2 linked regions of the Drosophila melanogaster genome follow. The protein of the gene in region 1 purifies or fractionates together with the protein of each later gene. This does not show direct contact. Each region holds a gene or a part of one and is shown on either strand. Other genes may lie near its edges. The genes, in order: Usp2 and Rpt6.

Evidence for each region.
Region 2: the proteins of Usp2 (region 1) and Rpt6 purify together in Drosophila melanogaster (affinity purification with western blotting; one study listed by BioGRID). This does not show direct contact.

The regions. Positions count from the first base shown.
Region 1 is NC_004354.4:22,453,584-22,457,507, forward strand, and holds the start of Usp2 (ubiquitin specific protease 2), read left to right. Parts: upstream 1-2,219; 5' UTR 2,220-2,280; intron 2,281-2,862; exon of another isoform or gene 2,863-2,976; intron 2,977-3,307; exon of another isoform or gene 3,308-3,608; intron 3,609-3,843; 5' UTR 3,844-3,924. Other genes in the region: wap (wings apart), read right to left, coding at 1-89, 148-607, 811-1,001. UniProt on the Drosophila melanogaster protein: Hydrolase that deubiquitinates polyubiquitinated target proteins. Required for preventing the activation of the Toll signaling cascades under unchallenged conditions. Essential for bodily calcium homeostasis.
Region 2 is NC_004354.4:21,314,081-21,318,004, forward strand, and holds Rpt6 (regulatory particle triple-A ATPase 6), read left to right. Parts: upstream 1-1,971; 5' UTR 1,972-2,097; coding exon 2,098-2,115; intron 2,116-2,178; coding exon 2,179-2,323; intron 2,324-2,468; coding exon 2,469-3,523; 3' UTR 3,524-3,583; downstream 3,584-3,924. Other genes in the region: CG1801 (uncharacterized protein), read right to left, coding at 1-3, 71-656, 758-975.

The sequences.
Region 1 (3,924 bases):
ACTTCGCACGAGTCCATGGCAACGGTGGCTAAGTAGTTCGGGTCCTGTTTGTTCCAGGCCAAGCGCAGCAGCGCCGTATGAGCAGGATCCTATTGGATTTATCGTTATGTAGTCATCCGTTTTTGTGTTTTCGCGCGTTCTACTTACCTCATATATAATGGTCGAGTGCTCCAAGTGCCGCAGATCAAACATGCGCACCGACCCGTCCGCTCCCACCGAGGCAAACATGTCCCGACCGCCGCCGGCCCGCGAAAAAGCAATGTCGTATACTTCCTTGTCATGGGCAATCAATTGCGTCTTCACGTGTCCTGCCACATAGACGCGAGCGTGCGGCTGTCCGGTCTCCAGTCCCCAGATAGTGCAGGTTGTGTCTATCGATGAGGTTCCCACCAGATTGGGATCCACCTCGTTCCAATCAAACGAAGTGAGGGGAGCGCAAAAGTCGCTGTTCTTGTTGTTATTCAGTACGCACTCGAGCCGCGTGTCCGGTTCCCCGGCACGCCACACCCGCAAGTAGTCGCCACTGGTGGCCAACAGATCCGGATAGACACCCTTGGAGTCCGGGATCCACATGATCTTGGTTGTCGGATATGGATGATCAAAGGTGCTATTTGAAGAAGAAATAATCTGTCAGTGAGGAAGGGGATTTCGGAAAAATGGTTCGTATAACCAAATAACTATTCATATTTAAAATGATTACAATAATATCAAAACTGCTTATCATTTTATATTATTTTTTAAAGATAATATACGAAATATAAAATGAAAACAGAAAGTAGAAGGGATCAGCTAAACAAATATTCGGTATACCTCTTAGCACTAAATTCGCTGGTGTCCTCGTCCAGGCTGATGATCTGTACCTTGTTGTTGTACTCCTCGATGAAGCTGCCCAGTGCGAGCCGGAATCGCTTGTCCGGCCTTACACTCCAGTTCATGGAGTACAGTGGCCATGGCGCGAGATATTTGTAGATCTCCTTGCGCTTTCCGGCGGTCGAGGACATAACTGTAGATATGGAAAAGGATCAGCATGAGAATCTAGGACTCGTATTCGAATTCGGAGTCTGGATCAAGAACCCACCTGAACTGTGTGATTGGATACGGATATCCAGACCAAGACGAAGATCAAGACTTGGATGACAAGGTGCTGCTGAGTTTTCTCAATGCCGTTTAGCTGGTGGCCGGCCTAATGACGACGAGCTCCTTTGGTGATGATGACGACAATGATGATGATGGCTGATAATGACCACTCACAGCAGCGGACAACTCAAGAAAACTTCATGGAATGGGAAACAAAGGTCTTTGCTTGCCACTCGCATTTGCACACTTTACCGGCTTGCTTTTCCTTGGCTTTTCCTGTAGCTTTCCTCTTTTCCGAGATTCACATCATTTTGTGCACTGGCAGTATTGCCAGCTCGCCCGTTTTCCGACTAGAGTCCGTCCGTCCGTTTGCCGTCGTTATTCCGGCGAAATTTAGGTCTGGAGGACACCGATCGGAGAAGTCGAACTGTACTCAATCAACAGGGCGAAGGAATTAATTCAACGGCGTGCACATCGCGACCGCAACGCATCCGTTTGGCCAGCAAGTGGAATTGTGCCCGGCACTCCGTATAAGGTGGCAACACTAAAACGTAATGCGACGCGAAAATTCGTTTGTGGCGGTCCTTCGATGGGCAAGCTGCCCCGGTTTTACCTTATAATTTGGTTAAGTTTCCAATCCAACCACAGTTTTCTGAAACAGCACGGTCGGAATTACACGGAATTAGTATTCAAAGAACTTTTAATACATTCTTTTCGACAGAATTTTCACACAAAAACAGTGTGACCGCGCAGATAGCTATAAGAAATACCTTGTGCAAAATCATTGTTATATACCAGATAAACAAAATACTATTTATTTAAAACAAAATTCTGTATTAAATTATATTGAACTGTAATATATAATATTCTAGGCTTGACTTTAGTCTAATTAAGAATTGAAAGTTGTGTGTTTATTTCCACCCAGAAATCTTTTCCCTGGAACTGGAAATATAATTCGATTGGCGTTTTGTGCAAAAACTATTAAGTTTGAAGCATATTTTTCAAATCCCATATGATGGAATTCTGTGTAAATGGAACATTAAGAAGGCCTCTGCTCATCTGTTAGCAAGTACACCAACCATACATGCATCAGGCATAGTTCTTCGATAGTTATCGAAGAACAGTTAACCTATCTTCAAAATCTAGTGACGGTGACTTCGTTTCGGCGTGCGGCCACACTAGCAAAAAAAATAGGATTAAAAAGTGAGTTCTGTGTTGTGCAAAAAAAAATTGCTTTAATTCGACCGGAAAAAGGCCCTTTTGCGGTGCAAAACGATGATGTCGCTTGGCTGGCGTTAAAATTTGTGGGATATCATTAAGAGACGGGACTTTCGGCAGCGCGACCTCGTTCGCCTCGTGATGTTCGTTTTGCGGTCAAATTTTCACCTTCGCCACCCATCCCCTCGCCCATTTGTTTTCTATCTTAGTATGAATTTATACACTTTATATACGCATTTGCCTTTGTACATTTTTTGTGTTCCGTGGATGTATGAAAAATTCCTAATAGCCGTCGTCGTCACTTTTCCACTTTCCATTTTGAGAAAGATATTTCACTTTGCGTAATTCGTACGCTGCCTGGCGCCTGTGTGTGTGTGTGTGACCGTGTAGCCAATAGTGCTACATCGCTCGCGCGCACAATCTCGGCACTGTTTTACTACTACCCTGGCTCGCCCCCTCTCCCTCACACATTTCACTGCCAAACGTACGCGCGTGTGTGAGTGCACCTTTTAAAAATAGAATCTCATTTCGTTTCGTTTTATATATTGTTTTTGCTTTTATCACAATTATTTCGATTTTGACGTGCAAAGAATGTATGAGTTTTGTGTCTAAAGAAAGCGGCTAATCGTGGTAACCGTTGAAAAAGTTCAGCTACACCTGTGGGTACTCGCGTGCGATTGTGTGAGCTTGGATAATTCAATTTTTTTAAGTGAATGTGTGTGAATGGGCTGTAGTGTAGTTGTAGCATTTTATGAACGAAAGATCGATTCGTGAAAGTGTGGCCATCTTATGTTAGTTAAGGCCTACCACCCGCTTCTCCCATCCCCCTGCACTACACCACCCGCAGAGCCTTACACTTGTGCATGTATGTATGTAAAAGCAACGGTTTTCTCGAATGGGAGCGTAGACAGCCTGGCGGCACACACACGAACGTAACTTCATTTTAAGTGTTACCGCATAAGGACAGCCGTCCGCGTCCCACACCGCCCCTACCCAGTTCAGCCAGCCAGCGTCACACTGAAGTTGTTGTTATGGCAAACTTGAAAACGGCTTTTCTCTATTTATTACTATTTTGCGATTGTAAACAAGTGTCGATCGGTTTTCCACTCTCCGCCTAACTGTTCATCAGGGACAAATCGAAGGCCACAAATTCCCGAGATGTGCGTGGGTGTTTTTTGCGCTTGTGAAAAATCAATCGTGGGAAGGGGAAGAAAGACGAGGAGTTCCGCTTGAAGGGTTTCGCATTATCTTATGCAGAATTCAAGATAACCTTGCGCCTGCAAGCCTTCATTTCTCCAATAAGTGAATCAAATGTAAACGGACAAGGTCTTGACAATTTAGAATTGTTTGCACTACTAAAAGTACCGTCATAAAAATGTGGTTTTGATTAAAAGATGTTCCCTCATTAGATCATTTACACTGGGCATTTTCCAATCTTTTGGGTATATTTTTGATAAAGAAGTTAGAATATTATGGTCCGATTAGTATGAGGTTTTGAATTCGAATTAATTTGATAAATAGGGCCTTCTAAAATTCCATTCTTTTCAGTTTCGCCTACAACTTTAGCAGCAACAAGAACGGGTCTTAGATGTAGCACATATGCAGCCATTAAGTTTAAAACTAACCTAA
Region 2 (3,924 bases), 1.1 Mb from region 1:
GTTCTGAGAATTGGGCCAGAAAGCGTCCTTATATCTCATGTTGGTTAGGTGGTGTAGATGGTGTACTTACTCTGATGATATTCAAAAAGGGCAGTAGGTATATAAAATTATAAAGGAATGTGGGCAGCTGGGCGACACTCATCACGGAGCACGGCTCGTCGGCGGCCTTCAGCAGGATGTTGTAGACCTCGACATTGGGTTCTGGATAGGTGCTAACTATGTCCTTGCGCAATTGGTGGTACCATTCCACAAAGATCTGGTGCTGCAGCTGCAGAAACCCCTCGCGAATATATATATCCTGCTGCTTATCGTGCTTGGCCCGATCCCGTCCGGGATTAATGCGACCCGAACAGCGGGTTATCCACAGGCGATCCTCGGTGAGGAACGGAGCGATCGTGCGGAACTCGCTGGGAAACCGAATCGAGATGGACAGAGTCAAAGGAGTGCCGTCATCGCGCAGATCATTGAAAACAATGCCCGCCAGGGTAGTCCGCTCATCGAACTGATTTTGCATTTCGGACTCGCTCTCGTAGCCCACGGTTGAGCTCAGTTCCAGCGTTTTGGCCACATTCTTGGTCACCTCCGATGTAAACGTCGTTTCCGGCGTGAAGGCCAGGATGTACTTGGTTTTCTCCCGCTTCGAGTCTGCCATGCGTCTGCGGAAGGTAACAAAACCATATAAATAGGTAGGAGCATTAAGTTGCGCCTTTGGATGGCGCTACATTCAAAAGGTTGTAGGTGAATACTATGCACTTACGTCAATATATTTATGTCCTGCAGTTTGTGGGACACGATGCTCTGCTCGTTTTCGTTCTCGGTGGTCGTGTATAGAAGCCTTTTGGAGTGAGCGATGGGGTTGAGAAAGATCACTAGGACCATTATCACTAGGGCGACGATCTCGAAGAGCGTCCGCCGCCACAGATTTAACTCGATGCGGATGTAGCGCTTGAAAAGAAGACCCTTGCTGGCCGGCATTTTACAATTTAAAATATAAATTTAACAAACGACAGAAATTGGTTGGCGGGTCTGCACTCCCGCACAAAACGGATGGTTTGAGTGTGAGAAGTTTGATTTTCGGCAGGGGATTTTGAAAATATTCTTATTTTGCCTTAAAACATACCAGTACTTTGTTCTCAAAGCACATTTTGATGACTATTTCAGACTACGCATTTACATGCCCAATGTTTTGAAATTTTCATAGATAATATTGAACACCTTCAAGCTTAGAATTTGTCACATTAAGTATTCACAATTAATTAGAAATACATTACATTTTTTTCATTAGCAGCGGTATTAGGCTAATTCAAGTTCATTACTTAAAAATCGCTGGTGCTACGCAAAAACAAGAGAGAACACAATGTATTTTACCACGAATCAGAGAGAAACCTATAGTCGAGTTCCCCGACTATCAGATAACCGTTACTCAGAGAAATATCATCATTTTTCTGTCTAGAAATTGGTAAATAAATTGAAAAAATGTATCGGTTTTGGCATGTCGAAAGAAATTTACAAGACTAATATAAAAATAAAATATTAAGACATTTTTTAAAAAAGTGGGCGTGGCAGTTTTGGGTGGTTTGGGTCAACAAACTAGCGCTGTCTCCAGAATCTGTATGCTTAATCTCAACCTTCTAGCTTTTAAACTTCCTAAGATCTTGAAGTTTATGCGGACGGACAGACGAACAGGGCCAAATCGACTCGGCTATTGATCCTGATCAAGAATATATAAACTTTATATGGTCGGACACGCTTCCTTCTACCTGTTACATACTTTTCAACGTATCTAGTACACTCCATTTACTCTACGACGGGTATAATCCTACGAGTAAGGTCGTGTTTTGTTATATTTAATTTTAATTGTTTACTGGACACATTTAATTCGAAAACCTTAGCTAGGTTTTTTACCACCTAGCGTTTTTATCGATGCCGATTGCTCGATGGCATCGATATTCCGAATGCAGTGCGATAACCGGCATGTGTCATCTCGAAAAGCAAATGCAGAGTCATACAATAAAGAGGAATTAATTCGACATCTTGCATTGTGGTCCTTCAGTTCGACAAATAATAACAAATTAAAGTGTAAACAGAAAACGAAAGATGACGGTGACGAATCGGGTATGTACATTTGATTCCCCCAGCTCTTCCACCGCGAAAAACCAATGCTCCATGTTTTCGCAGATGGAAATCGAGTCGGCCTACCATAAAGGCGAGGGATTCCGGTCCTACTACATCCAAAAGATCGAGGAACTGCAGCTGGTGGTGGCCGAGAAGCACCAGAATTTGAGACGACTGCAGGCCCAGCGCAATGAGCTCAATGCTAAAGGTAAATTTACTGTTACACATATGTAGATAATGTGCATAGTTGGTTAGCTGTAGGATATAGAAAACATATAAGACTTGTTCTTGGTCTTAATATCAAAAAATCTTTAAATTTGAGAAAGCAATCCTAATTAGCACGTCTTTTGCAGTTCGGATGCTGCGGGAGGAGCTGCAGCTGCTCCAGGAACAGGGTAGCTATGTGGGCGAGGTTGTGAAGCCCATGGACAAGAAGAAAGTGCTGGTCAAGGTGCATCCCGAGGGCAAGTTCGTCGTCGATCTGGACAAAAACATAGATATCAACGACGTAACCCCCAATTGCCGCGTGGCCCTGCGCAATGAGAGCTATACGCTGCACAAGATTCTGCCCAATAAGGTGGATCCGCTGGTCTCGCTTATGATGGTTGAAAAAGTTCCTGACTCCACATACGAAATGGTTGGCGGCCTGGACAAACAGATTAAAGAGATCAAGGAGGTGATTGAGTTGCCCGTAAAGCATCCAGAGCTGTTTGATGCCTTGGGTATTGCCCAGCCGAAGGGAGTGCTCCTTTATGGACCTCCAGGTACAGGAAAGACTTTGCTGGCCAGGGCCGTTGCCCATCACACCGAGTGCACCTTCATTCGCGTCTCTGGCTCAGAGCTGGTCCAGAAATTCATCGGCGAGGGTTCGCGCATGGTTCGAGAACTCTTTGTAATGGCCCGGGAACATGCACCATCAATTATTTTCATGGACGAAATCGATTCCATTGGCTCGTCGCGTATTGAGTCAGGTTCCGGCGGCGATTCCGAGGTGCAGCGTACTATGCTGGAGCTACTTAACCAGCTGGACGGCTTTGAGGCCACCAAGAACATCAAGGTGATCATGGCCACCAATCGCATTGACATCCTGGATCCCGCTCTGCTGCGTCCCGGCCGTATTGATCGCAAGATCGAGTTCCCGCCACCAAACGAGGAGGCGCGTCTGGACATCTTGAAGATCCACTCCCGTAAGATGAACCTCACGCGTGGCATTAATCTGCGCAAGATCGCCGAGCTAATGCCAGGCGCATCAGGTGCGGAAGTCAAGGGCGTCTGCACGGAGGCCGGCATGTATGCGCTGCGCGAACGACGCGTCCATGTCACCCAGGAGGACTTCGAGATGGCTGTGGCCAAGGTGATGCAGAAGGACTCGGAGAAGAACATGTCTATCAAGAAGCTGTGGAAGTAGGCGTTGATCGGCCATTGCAAAAGAACCCTTATATTATTTTCAATAAATACATCAGTTAGTAACATAAATGCATTATTGTGTCATTGGATTTACTCCTTAGTCAGTACGCACAACCCAATTATGATCTTCACAGATAACTTTCGTTCAATGATATCTGAAGAATTGAATAGATTATCAGATTACAGTAGCAGCTTTGTAAAAAGTACATTGCAGTGTTTTCAACTGGCTGCTTGATCAGAACAAAAAAAGAGAGGTTATCCATCTCTTTCTTTTTTATGTTTTTTCGATCTCAATGATTCCTAAAAATCCGAAAGGAAAGTACTTCCAAAATTACATTTATGTATGTATGTTTATTATAGTTCCAAAGAACTTACAGGGGACTTGTCGGAGATTTACAATGG